4 linked regions of the Caenorhabditis elegans genome follow. The protein of the gene in region 1 purifies or fractionates together with the protein of each later gene. This does not show direct contact. Each region holds a gene or a part of one and is shown on either strand. Other genes may lie near its edges.

What was found.
Region 2: the proteins of ZK1320.9 (region 1) and atic-1 fractionate together in Caenorhabditis elegans (co-fractionation; one large-scale study listed by BioGRID). This does not show direct contact.
Region 3: the proteins of ZK1320.9 (region 1) and T02H6.11 fractionate together in Caenorhabditis elegans (co-fractionation; one large-scale study listed by BioGRID). This does not show direct contact.
Region 4: the proteins of ZK1320.9 (region 1) and K01A2.5 fractionate together in Caenorhabditis elegans (co-fractionation; one large-scale study listed by BioGRID). This does not show direct contact.

What each region holds. Positions count from the first base shown.
Region 1 is NC_003280.10:9,683,336-9,688,561, forward strand, and holds ZK1320.9 (Acetyl-CoA hydrolase), read right to left. Parts: upstream 3,379-5,226; 5' UTR 3,377-3,378; coding exon 3,321-3,376; intron 3,271-3,320; coding exon 3,164-3,270; intron 3,111-3,163; coding exon 2,958-3,110; intron 2,912-2,957; coding exon 2,750-2,911; intron 2,641-2,749; coding exon 2,563-2,640; intron 2,519-2,562; coding exon 2,108-2,518; intron 1,405-2,107; coding exon 1,139-1,404; intron 1,091-1,138; coding exon 905-1,090; 3' UTR 753-904; downstream 1-752.
Region 2 is NC_003282.8:7,880,339-7,885,206, reverse strand, and holds the start of atic-1 (Bifunctional purine biosynthesis protein ATIC), read right to left. Parts: upstream 3,180-4,868; 5' UTR 3,141-3,179; coding exon 3,119-3,140; intron 2,849-3,118; coding exon 2,601-2,848; intron 1,371-2,600; coding exon 1,259-1,370; intron 1-1,258. Other genes in the region: srt-73 (Serpentine Receptor, class T), read right to left, coding at 4,173-4,287, 4,339-4,535, 4,837-4,868.
Region 3 is NC_003280.10:699,736-703,077, reverse strand, and holds T02H6.11 (Cytochrome b-c1 complex subunit 7), read left to right. Parts: upstream 1-1,952; 5' UTR 1,953-1,960; coding exon 1,961-2,170; intron 2,171-2,219; coding exon 2,220-2,297; intron 2,298-2,345; coding exon 2,346-2,450; 3' UTR 2,451-2,596; downstream 2,597-3,342. Other genes in the region: thoc-1 (Death domain-containing protein), read right to left, coding at 71-177, 230-308, 372-490, 544-662, 708-847, 893-963.
Region 4 is NC_003280.10:300,522-304,380, reverse strand, and holds K01A2.5 (AB hydrolase-1 domain-containing protein), read right to left. Parts: upstream 1,977-3,859; 5' UTR 1,967-1,976; coding exon 1,685-1,966; intron 1,626-1,684; coding exon 1,472-1,625; intron 1,261-1,471; coding exon 1,149-1,260; intron 1,029-1,148; coding exon 779-1,028; 3' UTR 722-778; downstream 1-721. Other genes in the region: col-69 (Nematode cuticle collagen N-terminal domain-containing protein), read left to right, coding at 1-197, 285-457; K01A2.6 (AMIN domain-containing protein), read right to left, coding at 3,614-3,715.

The sequences.
Region 1 (5,226 bases):
AAAAGGTAATTTTAGGATTTCTTGGATCAAGCAAAGGTATCTCACCCTATCACTTCAGAGAACGTCCCCTTTTGGCTGGAAACAATTCGTCTCCTGACTTCACTGGAATGCCCCGGCCTCATCAAAATGCTCGCTGGACAATGTAGTTAGCATTGGGACGGAACAATTCAACCTCCAATTTGTGGAAAGTTGCCTATGAGGCGATTGGTGGAACCCAGAAAGAGCTTTTCGATATGTTTAAATGTGGAATCGATCATGAGTCCAAGAGAGCAAGTCAAGTTCCACCATCTTCGGGAGTTGCTCCACCATTGATCATTCAAGCCTATCCAAATGCACAACATTCGGTAAGATACCGTTTTTAACTATAACGTTTTATGTAGTCGAGTAATTCTTACTATGCTATTAGCACTAAAATCCTCTTAAATTGTGTTGGGTTTCAGGGCTCCGATCCGAACATCCACCACGGATAGCCACATCGATGAACAAGTGATTTGAAAATTGTACGTGATCGTGATCGGTTAATTGTGTTTGTCCCACCACTCCCCATCTTCACATGTGTACTGTTCCCACTTGATCACTTCCATCTCTCTTTTTTTTTGTCAACTTTAGAATTGCCTCTGATATTTCTTCATGATTCTTTTCCTGTATGCTTTCATTACATCCATGTTTTATAATTGTAGATTCCACACTCGCCCGACTCTCCTTCAAAATGTTCAGATAACCTCCAAATAAATTATTGTAGTGTGAAGTTTCAAAAATAACATTTTTATAATTTAACCTATGTGCAATAAGAAAACACATCAGAAGTCGAACCGTATAATACAAAGAAATGAAAACTAGATTTAATCGGGCACTCGGTAACCATTATACCCAGTAGTTGAGGGAGCTGCAATTGATTCGCTTCTCACGCAGATGGCATCACTTTGAATCGATCAAATGCAGCCTTTTCGAGAGCTTCACGATCATCCGGATGAGAGATTTGAATCAACTCATAGGCTCTTTGACGAATTGATTTTCCCCATAGATTGGCGATGCCATGCTCGGTAACGATGTATCTGGCATGTGCACGTGTCGTGACCACTCCAGAACCCTGAAAATTGAACTTTAACCTTCAATATAGCTTCCGTTTATAACTAACCTGTGTCAAGAATGGAACAATTTTCGTTTGTCCCTTAGTGGTTCTCGATGGTAATGCAATAATCGCCTTTCCAAGTCCATCAAATCCGTGTGGACTGGCAGCCATAAAGTCGACTTGTCCACCGAATCCACTGAAAAAATTGCGTCCAATCGAATCCGATACGATTTGTCCCGTCAAATCGATTTCAATCGCTGAGTTGATTGATGTCATTTTACTGTTACGGCGGACGATGTCGATATGATTGGTGAAGTCGCATGGGGCAAAATCTGAAAGTATGATTGGGTTTTTAGTTGGAAGATGGAAAAAATCGAATTTTTTTTTTTTTGGGTTTCTGTAGTTACAATTTTTTTTTGATATATTTCTTGATCCAAATTGAAAATTAATTTTTTAAAAATTTTTCTGATTAAAAAAACAATTTTCTCTGTAACGGTTCTGATGAACACATAATTGGGACCAAGGGTGGCGGTTTTTAAAAAGAAAAATCGAAGGCTTTTCGTTTTTCAATTTTTAAAAATTTGTATTATAAAATTCGATTTTTCAAAAATTAGCTTAAAATTTTGGTCATTGTTTTTCTTTTTAGAATCAATTTATTTATTTATTTATTATCAATAAAAAACAAAATTAGATAAAAATCATATTTTATGGTTAATTTTCTGAACATTTTTTTTTCGATTTTTCCATTTTTAAAAAATTCGAAAAATCGGAATTTTCCAAATTTTCGAGATTTCGTTTTTCCCTCATCGGGACATTTTTGAATTTTGGAATTTTTTTCGTTTTTACAAAATTTTTGTATTTTTCCGATTTTTCTGTTTCGCTCATAAAACCAACAAAAAATATCTAAAAAATTTTAAAAAATCGTTGAATTAATTTTAACAGCAAAAACGGATATCTGTGGTATCCTTGCACAGTTCTAAAGTTATTTTTAAAAAAATTAAAATCACTTTTACAATTGGTAAAATAAAAACTTACAAAACTCTGGATTATTATCGATTTTCTTATAAAATTCCTTTGTTCCAAAAGCAAACGAGGAAACAGTTTTTCCTGGCATAAAAGCCTTCTTTTGATTATTAATAATTCCACGATCAATCAAATCAATAACTCCATCACTAAACATTTCCGTGTGAACTCCAAGATCTTTGTGCTGCTTCATCGCTGCCAACGCCGAGTCTGGAATTGCTCCGATGCCGAGTTGAAGGGTGGCTCCGTTGTCGACAAGGTTCTCGGCAATTATTTTTCCGATTCTTTGTTCGGTTTCAGACATTTCTTCTCCACCAGACTGACGGAAAGCGATTGGTCGATCCGTTTGAACCATTGCAGCGAAATGAGAAGAATGGACAGTAGTGTGGCCTCGGGTACGGGGCATTGTGCTGTTGACAAGGGCTGAAAAAATATTTTTTTGCAACTTATTGATTATTTATTTTTACCAATAATTTTTTTGGCACTAGTCGCTGCAGCCAGTGTTGTGTCAATGTCGACTCCAAGTGTACAGAATCCGAGCTCATCTGAAATAGAAAAAAAAACAAATTTTTAATTTTTATAAAGTTGTTAATCACAAAACCCTGTTTTCGCTTTTTTTTTTATGGCGACTTTTAATCAAATTTAAATTCTTACCAGGTGGAGAGACAGTAATCAGTGCAAAATCAACATTCAATGTTCCACTTGTGTATAAAGAGGGAACTTCAGAGAGGAAAATCGGAGTGTAGTCAGCGGCGCCCAAATTAACATTTTTACGATTTCCCGGGCAAATGAACAGGCTGTTGTTTTGAATTTTTCCTGAAAGCAGTAAATTTAAAAATTAAAATACTTGAAATTGACTCACCGTGATATTTAGGGTCGAATTGTGGGCAATTTCCGCTTAAAATTAGATGAGACATTCGGATATTGTTGAGATTTGCCGAATCAACACGACGACAAAGTGCTTCGAGAAGAACATTGGGAGCAGACGCATGGTTTCCAACGTAGATATCAGAATCTGAAATAATTTGAATTTTAGAGATTTTTAATTTTAATTTCTCGGATACAAACCTGAATTCACCATCGCCAAGGCTTCATCTGCCGATACATATTTTGGCACGAATCCAGGTTTTGCGTGCAATAATTTTGTTGGTAGACGAGGCCCATTTGTGAAATGCCTGAAAATCACAGTTCAAAAAATTATCGACTTTTGTAGAAGAACACTAACCTTGAGAGGGAAATAACTGAACTTTTAGATAGTTGCTTGGCCAGTTTCAAGGACATTTCTGCAAAAATGGAAACAATTAAAATATTTTTTCAATTGAATTGAGAAAAAATCAAAAAGAAAACTCAGTGAATGATAAAAGAAAAGCTATCGAAACCTCACATGTGAATGCTTTTTCAATGTTCTATGTGCTCCACCTCCTTCAGTTCTTCCAAAACATTTTTCTCAAATTTCTCTCAAAAATAGAATCACGAGGAGATGAGAGAACAAATTAAGATCACTGATAACACATCAATGAATCAGTTTTTCTTTTGACAAAACTAGAAAAAGTTCGAAAACCCTACAAAAACTAGAAATTGTTCACGAAAATCAAAAAATCGCTTCGAAAAAAAATGTTTCCAAACAAACGACACTCCGATATCCCGATGGAATGTCGGTGTCTCTCGATTTCATGCACTCTCTAATAGTGTAGTCAAGCGTTTGATTTTTGGATTTTTGAACTTTGCGGGAACCCGGAAGAGTTAAATTTTGACTCAAAATAATAATGACAATTGGAATGAAAATATAATTTGTATCGTGATTTCACTAGATTTTGACGTTCCTTCTTAAAGGCGCACGGATTTATTCAGATGGGTCTTGGCGCGCAAAAAGTTTACGGTAGCTACCATAAACTTTTTTGCGCGCTGGGACACTTCTTAAGAAGGAGTTTAAAAATCTAGTGAAGTTACGATATATGTACTGTCACACGGACTAGAAAGCATAATAAAGAACCAAGATTTACAGAATTTTTCGGATATTGAACGAATATTTATGCAATTGCCTACATGCAAAACATCCGAAAACATACCTTTGTTCAATAATACAAAAAATGTATAGACCGCACGGGAAACTCGTCTTTGACCAGAAATGTTAATTTGTGATTGTTCAGCTCAAACATCGAAACACCTAGGATCCCTTCCTAACTTTCACAGTCCCCAAATCCTTTTTCTTACCGAAATGTATACATCCTGAGATCTTTATATTCAGAATATCCTATTTTGGTTCTCGTGAACAATTTGTTTTATTGCTCACCGAAGTGCTCACCCAAACGACTATTTCGAACCAATTTAAACTCGGTTTCCCAAATTTTCTCGTCAATTTTCCACTTTGTAGTATCCTGAAAAGTGTCTATCTATCACTTTTCTCGAACGGCTATTTTTGGGGCTATTGGAACATTTAAATTTTTTGTAGAACACCTTATGCTCTGAACTTTTAAGAAAATTTTGGATAAGATGCTTGATATTCTATTCCATTCAGGATCATCAATGAATAGCATTCTCCTTACGTTTATTGTTTTTATGAATTTCTTATAGAGTGAATTTTGTGCAAAATTAATGTGGGAAAAATAAAGAAGCGGAAAAGTACAAAACAACTTTGTTTTCAACGTATGGGATAGCTTTTTCTTTGAAAATTTTATAGAGTTCATACACAAAAAAAGCGGTCTAGAAGCTTCAGTTCATTCTGAAAGTTGGCAGATAACATCTAGATCCCTTTTCGTATTCCAGGCCCCCATGTCTGCAAGATGTCTGCAAGTCTGCAAGAATACACCATTTGACATTATTCGCAGTAAACCAAATGTGCCAAATAGTGCGACAAATGTTTTGTCAGTTGACAGCATTTTTATTAGACAACTGAAATTTGAGCTACAGGCTAGAGTTTGGAATAATATGAAGTGAAATTTTAACAGCGTCTGAGTACATAAACACAACGTAGCTCAGCAACGAAAAGAGATACATGAAAATGGTTAACTGAAGAAATGTAGCTTTTAACATGTTTATTGATTTTGTAATGTTTTATTTCTTCTAACTTTAAAGTTTCTTAAGTGAGCGACGGTCAAATTTAAAAATAACTTTTCCTAGCCTTTTTTGAG
Region 2 (4,868 bases), on another chromosome or scaffold:
ATTCATGAAACAAAAGCCCTTTTAATGGGATAAAAATGTAGGAAACGGTTGGAAAAACAAATACAATGGGTACAATTGAACGAATATTTCCACTTTTTTGTACTTTGTGCTAAGATCATAAAATGTCTATAACCTTATCCTTTTTTTAATATTAAAAAAACCATTCGATTAGAAGTTATAATATGGAAATTTCAATGATACCAAAAACTAGAGCTCAAGCTTTACGAAATGATGCATTCGTAAGATTTGCTCCTTTAAATGTTTCTGAAAGAATTTTCTGAAGATGATCACAGATTATATGAACTTATTGAGAGGAAGTATAGAATGAAAGTGTAAACGAATTATTATTTTCTCAGTTTTTTGTTGGTTGTATTGTCTTTTTTTGTGAATTCTCCAGCTTCCGTGTTAATTGAATTTATATTTTGAGGAACTAAAAAAGACGAACAAGAAGAAAATATAATTGTTTTGGTGTCAGAAAGGATTTAGGAAGGGAGAAGAACAATACATACATGTTTTCACAGTGATAAGTAGAGAACGATTTTTCAGAACCTGAACGTGCCCAATTTCACGAAATTGATATTTCAATTAGCTCAAATAAAACTACTTGATCATAGTATTGTATGTGATAATATTGCCAATTATTAAATCATTCACTAATGCTAAAATGACGAATTACATAACATAGTAAAACTTATCAAAAATCTTGAATTTTTATTTTCATCCAAAAGTGACAATTTTCCCCCTATCATAATAATGGAAGGCGACCGAAATATTATTTTTTATACAAAAAATATATTTTGATAATGTTTAAATTATTTTCAATTGAACATTGTAAGTCTTTGAAAATGCAAGAATGGTCTATTTCATTGACGAACATCCGTTTTAACTTGATTGAATTATTAGCTTGAAGTAGAATTACACCCCTTAAAATTATATGCTATTCCAATGAACTATAATATTTGGTAACTTATTTAAAAACAGGATGAACACTTTAAATTTGAAAAAATTCAACTTTTTAATCTAGGCCGTATGTTTTGGTTATGAAGTTCTGCTAAAATGATTTTCTGATTTCAATTTAAGCTGTTCCTGTGAAAAAATGTTGATGTTTGGTTTAGGGTTAGAAGTCACGAAAGGAGCAAAATAAGTCAAGTGCATAAATTGAAATCAAAAGGAACAAGGGGAAAAAGAAAGATGGCAACATAAAACAAAGTCAATTTTCCGGATGAATAAACTCAAAAAAAGAAAGAAATAAACGAACCAATGTCAATGTTCTCAACAGCTTCTTCTACAGAGCAATCCTTGGATTGAACAGTTTTTTTGAATGGATACAAGTTGCAAACCACCACTGAGACGAATGAAATGTTGTGTTTCTGGAAGAAAGAAAATAACCAAAAAATACAAGGAAGGAAAAGAAGATGAAACAAATTCAATTGAAAATAGAAAGAGAAGGTAATTGAATAGACACGGGCGGTAGAAACTGACACGTAGGCTTGCTCTCGGTGCATCATAACAACACCCCAATCAGTTGTGTTCGTTGATTTTTACGCCAATTTTTATGGATGTTCCAAGTTTAATTTTACTCTATGGTTGATGACGAAAGTTGAAGGTTTACAGATTATCTCACAAAAATCTTATTTTCACTCTGAATTGATAAAATATTTCTAAAAATACACAATAGAATTTCAAATAATATAATGTTCCTGGAGTATTATTTTTTGATTATCTCAGAGATTCAATGTTTATCCTGAAATGCAATATGACTGTAATACAATTTTCCGGCAAACAAAGTTTTTTGACTAATATTTTGCCGTTCTCCGTTCAACTGAACGCTAACTTTATGAAATTTTTTTTCGGTTTCTAATTAATAATTTAATTTTAAAGGTGACATATCTCAACTTTGTCTCAAAGTGTTCTAGCCATCAGGGCTGGCACTTTAATCCCAACAAGAGGCAAGACATAGGTTGCGAAATGCGCAAGTAACAAAAAATTGATTCAAAAAAATCCGAAAAAACTCTCTAACCCGTTTTCCAAAAAATTGTAATCCAACTTCAAAAAATTAACAAACAATTGTCAAAGTTTCAGATTAGACTAACTTTTTTTTTAAACAAAAGCGAGATATAATGTTTATTTAAAAAAAAATTATATAATTCGAAATAAGAATTGAAATTTGAATGAAGTCGTGACGACAAAATGAAGAAAAAGAGGACGAAAAATTGTCTTCTAATCTTCTTTTTGTCTCCTTCTCAACTCTTTATTTTCACGAGATAAGCCTTCTTCATCTGACGAAAGGACCAACTTTTTGTCACCCGTTAGCCCTTCTTTTTTTGGTTTTTTTTCTTCACTTCATTCTATTCAATCATGAATTCGATTAAACTAAGTAATGGTGAAATCTTTCAAGCCAGTACAAAGTTCATTTTGTGAGATTCCCGGAAGTTCTACAAAATCCGATCTTTTGTCAGAATTGTTTTGCACAAATGTTGCAAATTTATTTATTTCCACTTAATATAATTTGCAAGTTTCAGTTGAAAACGGTTCGACAACAAACAAGTTAGTTTACAAATAAAAAAAATTCAAAAAAAAAAGAAAATAAGCTATCTCACCTCTAGATCCTTTCGATCACTTTCCGTATCTCTTGCCAAGATTCCTCCATGAACGGCAGGATGCAGAGTTTTAACTCTTCCACCAAGCATCTCAGGAAACTTTGTTACATCTGCCACATCATGAACATCAATTCCTTGATCTCTGATCGCTTTCGCTGTTCCACCGGACGCAATAAGTGTTAAGCCAGCAGATACAAGTCCATGAGCAAGAGGAATAAGTCCTGTCTTGTCAGAGACCGATATAATGGCTGAAAATTAAAAATGTTTAGCTTTATACTTGCAGTTTATTTTAGTTCATTATTGTAGTAGTTTTCATTTGTTAAATACACAAAAAAGGGTTTTCCAAATCAAGGAGCGAGGTGGGTGAGGTTAGAGGCGGGGAAGAGGTGCCCCCGTAACGCCTCGACCTGGTGGAATGTCTAGTTCAATAAATAATTTTAAAGAATAGAAATGAATTATATTTATTCCGGGATTGCTTGAAAAATTAATTTAAAAAAATTCAAAATGAAATTACTTACCAAGTGATTTTCCGTCGGTCATTTCACACAATTCGTCGATGTATTGTATCAAGTCGATAGTCTTGTAAAATTCAATTTCTAACATTTTGTTTAATATTTTTTATTCGAGACGTAAAAATCACACAAAATAAAAAATGAACAAGGAACCAAAAAACACTAAAAATAGAAACTTTTGAGATAATCACAGGAAAACGATGGATGAGGAGAGCATGAGTTTATGCATTTATAAGTATTATTTTGTGAACTTTGAAATCTTGAACATTTTTGGAAAAATACACTCAGAAATTGGCAACTTTTTCAATGAAAAATGTCTTTTAGACTGGTCAAATTGAACAGTGTTGCTCAATTTTTCAATTGATAAGATAAATTTGATAACGAGGCAAATATTATTGTGTTTTTATTGCTTGTAGATGAAAGAATTAATAATCGAAAAAAAATCAGAAGTAGAAAATAAAAAGAACTTTGAAATCGATTTTAAATATCGCAAATATTATATAACTTTGAAATCTGTGTTGGTGTTTCAAAAACCAATAAAAATCTAATGTTTCTCTGTTCTTATAATAAAATCAAAGCTTCGAATTGGAGATATACGTACATTAATTTTTTTTTCTCGATTTGCCAGAAAATCTTCAAAATTTCAAAAAAAAATTCAATCGGTAGTTTCCCTTGATAACAAAACACAAACATTTTTATTATGAAGTGATGGTGTCTCTGTTTTACGACGGTTTTTATTTGTTTCTGTGTGTTATCAGTTTATCAATGTTTTACTTTGACAAAAGCTTTTTTACTCTGTCCACCTATACTTGCAGAATATTCCTTAAAATTGAAAATATCGAGAGGATCTGTTTCCTCTCATTTCAGTTGTTAGCAGTAAATTAGGCTTCATGTAAAAAGATTTCTGTGTCTAGATTTCATGGACCTATAAATAAATGTTTGGAAATCGATGACAAGAAATAAATTGTTTTTATTTCTAGACATAATTATTTTTTCTAATGATATCTTTCTATTTCTTAAATTCTAAAAACTAAAAGTTATATTTTATTTGAAGACCTGACTACATTTTAGCTCCGGATTGTCGAACTGTTGATACGTGCGAAGCAACAAACATTGTACGTCCACTGACTTCTGTTTGTTTTCCAATTGATGCTAATACCAGGTTACGAATACGACTGCAACTTTTTTTAAAAATGTTTTCAGTCAACCAAAGTTCTAAAACTTACGGATTAATTAATACATAAAGCATTGAATTGATTGAATTCCAAATCATCCATACAACATGTCCAATGAACACTCCAATTGGTAATTCCCATGGAATTGGTAGATATTCCCATGTCAAATACCCAATAACATGAAATATAGAAACACATAATACTTGAATTGTCAATATTAATTCTTTCTTTGACAATAATGCTGCTTTCTGAAAATCAACAAATGTTGAAAAATAATGAAACATTAGCTCTTCTGAAGGGAAATGAAAAGTTTCAAAACATTCTTAATACAAATATCTGCCCTTTGTTTGCGACTACTGTGAAATTTTTTTCATATACCTAAAACGTTTTGAGATTTGACGAATTGAAAATTTAATTCGAAAATCATGGGGTAGCTGTAGATGATATTGTACTTGAAAGTTTTTTGCATGAAATACTGTAGAAACAGTTTTCGATAAGTTTTTTTCTTCAATTTTCTTTGAAACGAAATTATATGTATGTTTTACTCACAAAATAAATATAACTGAAGATAACCAAATGAG
Region 3 (3,342 bases), 9.0 Mb from region 1:
AGACCCAAAAAATTCAGGTAAATGATATTTTTCAGTGGAAATTTCTCGCTTTTTTCCGATTTTTCCGTACTTTGAGTTATCCTCTTCGATTTCTCCAGTTTCCATATCCTCTGCTCCTTCCGTAGGTGTTGGAGCCGATGACGTGGCAGCGAGAAGAGCTTCACCGTCGGTTTCAGACTGAAATTTTGCGATTTTTTGCGATTTTTCAGTCCAAAAACCGAAAAAATACCTCGTCGTAGTTGGTAACGTTAAGCGTGTTGAAGTGTCCCATAAAGTTTACACCGGATTTTTCGGTTAGCGGGAGGAATCTGGAAAAAATTGAGTTTTTCGCAGGAAATTTTGGGATTTTTCGAAAATGTTTCGCTTTTTACCTCGAGAGAAAGAACATAATTCTTCCGCAGAACGATGTTTCAGCGGTTCTACTCAAGCGGCGGAGCAAATCGTTGCAGAAGCGTAGAATATTGTTCTGGGCGGTTTCAATGAAGCCGGGCTGCAAAAAATCCGCTTTTTATCGGGAAAATTCTTTGAAAACCGGCTTTTTACCTGCTTAAACTCGTTCATATTCTCTTCTACTATGCTGAAAATCTGCTTACACTCCTCAATTGAGCTCATCTCCAAGAGGTCCTGTAGAGTGCTCAGGGGAGTGTTTTTGGAGCACAAACCTGCAAAAAACTCATTTTTAAACGAAATTTCGAGAAAATAATTACCAAGCTTGGAGCAATTCATCACAAAATGAAAATGCCGCCTTGCAAGCTCTTCCTTGGTGGCTGAAGGCTGCTCGGCGACCTTGAATCCCCGCTTTTTCAGAAACCCGTCGACTTTTAGAAGCACAAATTCGTCGTCTTTCCTGTAAAATTGCATTATTTATCTGATAATTCTTTTAAAAACTCACGCAGTCTTTTTTTCCGCCTTCACAACCTCCTTTAACCCGTCCAAATCCCGATTTTCGATAACTGTCTCCATTTTTTGACCTAAAACATTAAAATTGACGGGTGAAAGTTGAGAGATTAACGACTAAAATTTTTTATTTGTTTATTTTCGCAATTTTAAAATAGAAAATCAATAGAAATCGGTTCAATTTAATGAAAAAATTAATTAATTCGAAAAAAAAATTATCGAAAAAAAATCACTTGCAACGAAGCTCCGAAATAACGAGGCGCGTGTTGTTTACCGTAAATCAAACTTCAGCCAATTTTCTTATTTTTTTTTCACAAAATACTCATCCGGCAACGTTTCTGGTGAAAAATCTGAATTCATCAAGTTCTAAGGAGTATTTTAACATAGTAAACTTTGAAAAAACATATTATCTATCTGCTACATGGCGTTAGTTAAAAATAAAATACTTCAATTTCCCTTTAATCGATTCCTATGAAATTTTTCTTTAGTTTATTAGAAAAAACCATCATAAAATGTGTATTTTAACTTCAAAAAATTAGGTTCTCAATGCTTGAAAGCTTGAGAAAATTAATTTCCAAAAATTTGTTCACAACGATGCTCCGAAATAACACCCTGCGTGTTGTTTAGCGACACCGCCGAATTCATAATTTTCCTTTTCATTCGGTTTTCTTTGATTTTTAGCTGGAAATTCCGATTTTTTTTGCATTTTAAGCACAAAAATCAGCTTTATGAGGTTTTCTGACAGTTTTAATGCGTAAATTTGTAAAATAACTCGAGAAATCGCTTGGAATCTGATTTTTGAGAATTTTTTGCATTATCTTTGTTTTTGCCGGATTTTTAAGAGTTTTCAATGATAATTGTGCATTTTTGCCTAATTTTTTGCTTGTTATAAGTGACTTTATGTAAAAAATCTCAAGAAAATCATTTAAAATCCGAGAAATTGAGCTAAAAATCGATATTTCCCGAAAAACATGTGAAAACTTGTATTTTTTCAGTTTTTCTTCAGCTTTTCCCCAGAATTCCCCACTAATTTTCTTTTATTTTTTTCTTTTCAGGTAACGAAATGGCCAGTCAAGCCGCCTCAAAAGCCGTCACCTTCGCCTACAACGGCACGATCGCCAGCACGCTTCGCAAGTTCGCATGGAGCAACTTGTGGGGAGGACGCGAGTACGGGCTCCAATTCCACGACACCTACTTTGAGCCGGCTCCAGAAGTCACCGAGGCTCTCAGACGCCTTAATCTCCAGGAGCCACACGTTTTCGATCAGAGAAAGGTGAGAAAATCGATTAAAAATTGGAATTTTCAATCTTTTTTTACTTCAGATCCGTCTTTCACGTGCCCACACTTTGGCTCTCCACGGCGAGAAGCTTCCAAAGGCTGAATGGACTCAATGGGATCAGGTAGCTTTTCACTCGAAATTCAACTTTAAAAAATCTATTTTTCTTCAGGAATCGTGGTACTTGAAGCCATATTTGGACGAGATCGAGGCAGAGAAGAAGGCTCGCGCCGAGACATCCGGACTCATTCCACCATACCAAATGAAGCAACATTAGATTCTTCGAATTCTTCAAAATTATAATTTTCCGCGCCCTTTTTTTTCGTCTTTTTCTGTTAAATCACCTCTCTCAACCACGTTTTTCTCGGCATTCTAGCGGGAAAATCGTGTGAATTTTGAAATTGTGAGTAAATTTTGAGTTAGAAATTCGATTTTTTTTTGTTGTTTCACAGTCAAATCAAACGCGAATTTTTTCAGAATTTCAGACAAATCAGATGATTCAAGTGTCTGCTAGGCTACAAACTACAAATTTCGATTTAGCAGACCCAAGTGATTTTGAAGAGAATGGGTCTGCTAGGCTACAAACTACAAATTTCGATTTAGCAGACCAATGGGTTTTTTAATTGAAAAACTTGGATTTTTTGCGTTTTCAGACGGTTTTCTCACTGAAAATTAACTCCTTAGCCTGGAAAATCTCGATTTAAAGCAATTTTTACAAAATTTTCACTTCTAATCTCCAAATATTCCTCATTTTTAAAAAATATTTTTCAGAGAAATCCAAGTGACTCCAGAGATGTATTGAAAATTGGTCTGCTAGACTACAAACTACAAACTTCGAAACTTCAAATCGTGACATTTTATTCGATAACCAGCCGATGACCGCGCCTCCGGCGCGGCCAACGACTGGCGGAGTTTAAAATGTATAACAAATAGATGTCCTTTTAATCATTCAAAAATGTCTCATTAAAAAAAATTGAAACTTCATCGATTAAATCGCATTTTCTCCTTCCATGGTATACTATTCAGAAAATTCAAAGAGACAGTTAGAATGTTCTGATTTTTCTACTACACATTATCATTATCAGGCTTTCGAAAAAATTCCACAGGGTTACAGTTTTTTTAATAAGTTAACAACTTTCCTTAACTGGAGAAGTCTGAATAATTAACTA
Region 4 (3,859 bases), 9.4 Mb from region 1:
TGGATATACACCGCCTCCAGGACCACCAGGAACACCTGGAGTTCAGGGAGAAGCTGGACAGGATGGAGAACCAGGGGTACCTGGAGTTACTGGCTATCCAGGAGTTCGTGGGCCACCGGGGCAGGATGCTGAATATTGTCCGTGTCCACCAAAGAACGCAGGAGTCAATCGGAATAGTTATGTGCAGCCGGCACCAGGTAGGCTACTTTTTTCCATTAAGTAGGCGGGGCTGATATTACGGCCTAAAAAAACTCAAATTTCAAATTTCAACATATTTTTTACAGTGTCCACAAGCTACGCCACAGCATCCCAAAGCCGTTACGTGTCAGAGTACAATAAAGAGGATGAGTACAGGAAACGAGTGCTGGCTCGAGTGCTCAAGAAGCAGAGACGACTACTTTTGGCGACAAGAGCAAAGAATGTTCGCCGGAAGCCTGTTAGTCACGCTAGTCCGTAATTATTTTTATTTTTGTGAAATAAATTTGTATAAACTTTTTCACGGACGTTTCCAGAAAGTATACTGTCCCAAAAATTTTAATTGGGCTTCGCATGGGCCCCGCCCACAAGGCTCGGACAGAAACCCTTTGTGAACGGGAAGATTTTTTTTCTGGAAATTTTAGAATTTTTTCTGAAATTTTCTTTTGGCAAAATTCCTAATGAAATCAGTCATTTTGTGGGTGGAGCTTATGAGTGTAATAGCGAAATTGCTTGAGACCAGGACGAATTTTTTATAAACTTTATTCTTCACAAAATACAAAATACAAATTTCATATATTTATCATTTCTTCTCCGTGCTCTTCAAGAATTCCAGAACCTTTCCGGAAAACCATTTGGGATATTTCAAATAAAAATCGTGTCCTCCTTGTGCATGAATCTCAACTTTTGCCAAACTCTTGAGCACTGGGATGAAGCATACATTCGGGTCACCACAGAACCGGTCCAATCCACCATTCATCACTAGTGTCGGGCATTTGACTTGTGGAAGTACCAGGTCACACGGGAAACGGCCACCGCAGAACGAGTGAACTCTGAAAATTCGTTTGGTTAGGTAGGAAGCAGACGTAGGTCGCCTTGAAGGTAGTTGGCAGACATATTTGTGCCTACAGGAATATACACAACTTCGCATAAGCCCCGCCCACAAAACTCACTGATCTACGACGTCACAAAGTGCCGCCCATTGTGTCCGGAGTGTTTCCGGCGAATAATGGTCCAAATATGGTTGACGACCGGCTGCTAGCCAATGATTTGTTTCACGCATTCCTGAAATTCCAAAAATTAATTTATAAAGAGCACAAAACCAATAGATGGCCACACCCATAAAATGGACGTTCGATTTATTTTCCCATAAAAAATCTTGTAGGTAGGTAGGCATAAATTGCTGCTTCTATGTGGAAAAATGGGCCATATTGGTGTCAAATTAAGAAATTTCATTAAAAAACAGTAATCTTCCAAATATATCTAAATATCTCACCCTTGAAAGCCATGGCTCCTAGATGATTAACTTTTGTTGCACCAGCCATTACAATCATTCGATTCACTTTTTCCTTTCCTTTAGCTGCCACGTGGACCGTTGTTCTAGCACCTTCTGACCACCCCATCACGGTGAACGGCTCTAGTTTCAGGGTCTAAAATTTGGAGGCTTTTTGAAAACGTAAAAATTTTAATTTCAAAATTAAAAGCTCACCTCCATTAACCCTAGGCAATATTCACTATCCTTCATACATCTCTGAACTTCTTGTTTTCGCTCTGGAGGTCTTGAGGTACCGTAACCTGGAGGATCAATCCCAACAATTGTGACCTGATCTGGTGGGAAATGAGAGAGCAATTTGAGTGGCCAATCTTTTTTATAGCAGCCGACAGCACCGCAAATCGCGAGAATGTAGTTCGGACCGTGGCCGTATTTACAGTAACCGATTTGAGTGTCCTTGATGTGTTCCGAACTTTCGATATAGTCGCTTTGAGTCATTTTTCTTTTGCTGAAATTTATTTAGGTGTTTAATTTGTTAATTATGAGGTAGCGACGGTGAGGAAATTTTCCGGATAATATAAATGTTTGAGACACCTTTGTGACCTTTGAGACCGCACACCTTTGAAGTACATCTCCCCGATTTCTTCTATCCTAGAAAGAGACGTAACAAGGGTCAAGGTTCAAATGTATTGCTAAGAGAACGCCTCTTGTGGTGTGGTAGTACTACAGTATTTACAACCTACTAGTACAGTAGGTCGTATATATTGTTATTGTCGATGATTTACAACCACCGGATTGACCTAGAATTAACATAGGTATTTGAAATCGGTTTAGGCCAAATAATTATGGTTCCGCGACATTTATAGAATTCGGAATTTTCTGAAGAGCGAGAACATGTATTGTGAACCTCTACAATATTTAAATACAGAAATGTAGAGTACAAAACATTGTTTTTTGATCGACTTCCAGAATTATGATACGTGAAAACTGATAGTGAATATTAAATTATTCGAAAATCGGACACATGGAATTATTGATCTCAAAAATTCGGTGAAATAGGCTAAAGAGGAAGGAAAACCAAAGAGGAAATTTTAAAAGTGCATGTATTTGAATGACGAATAGTTCTACGAAAAAGATTTTGAAAGTCCGATAGGAATGAGAAATTTGTAGCCTACAGATTAAGATTTCAGAAGGAATTTGGACAAGACCGGATTAATTTTGTGCCTGTAAGCTGCGGAAAGTTCTAGAACCATCTGGAAAATACGAGAAAGTTTTGGAATGTTCTAAAACCTTCTGAAAAATTAGATAGAATTCCGGAATGTTCTAGAACTATCTGGAAAATACGAGAAAATTTTGGAAGGTTCTGGAACCTTCAGAATAATTCGAGAAAATTTTGGAAGATTCTAGAAAGGTAATAAAAATTATTAAAAAAAACATAACCACTAAAACACCGAAACATCTAGTTATTTGTAATATAAATGTGTAGTTTCTAATAAAAAGGAACTATGAAACAGTAAAGTAAACCTTTTGATTTATACTGGGAGAGTATGCAGATTTCAATCTAGGATATGAGGGTAAATAGGGAATAACAGGTGAAAGTGTACAAACGCAGTCGGAGGAAGATGTTGTTAAGATGAAAGAAGAAGGAGAAGAACACAGGCACTTGGACACACAGAGGGAAATAAATGGGAAATGAAAGGGAAAAGGGATATGGAAGAGACAGAAAATTGTTCCTATTGTCTGAAGGTATTGTATAAAACCGCAAAGAGGAAATTGATGATCGAATCATGTGATTTTGCGGGGAGTGCTGAAAGCATTTTTTTCAGATTTGTCAAGCTTGGGTCTTTGATCTTTTAGGACAACACAGTTTTACACATCTGGAACAATGCGGCTTCACCCATGTTGTCGAACACAAATAAATTTTTATGAACCAAATTTAATCAATAAAACTTGAAAATTACAATATTAGAGAAAAACTTGAAGACGATTTTCTCATTTTCCAGTATTCCCTTGTTTCCGTGTCAATGTCCAAGACTCCACTTCCACTGGATCTCCAAGCGGCTCCCATTGATCCGTGAGCTGTCCTTGTCGATCTCTGAATACTCTAGCTCGTCTTAGGATTCTTCTATATACTGTCGCAGGGTACTATGTGTCGCAGTGTTCATTGGGGTCCTGCCGGTTGACAACTTGCACAGGGACTCTATCAAAGTTTTGATCATGAAATACAGGTAGTTGTTGCGCTGTTCCCTGGAAGATTGGATTGATTGAACAATTTTTTTAGCATCACCTTTTTAAAATATCAGTTTTTAACTGGTCGGTTAAAAAATCCATATATGCCTGCCACCCGATATCATCATTTTAGGTGACTAGCGGGCCTATGGGCCCGCCAGC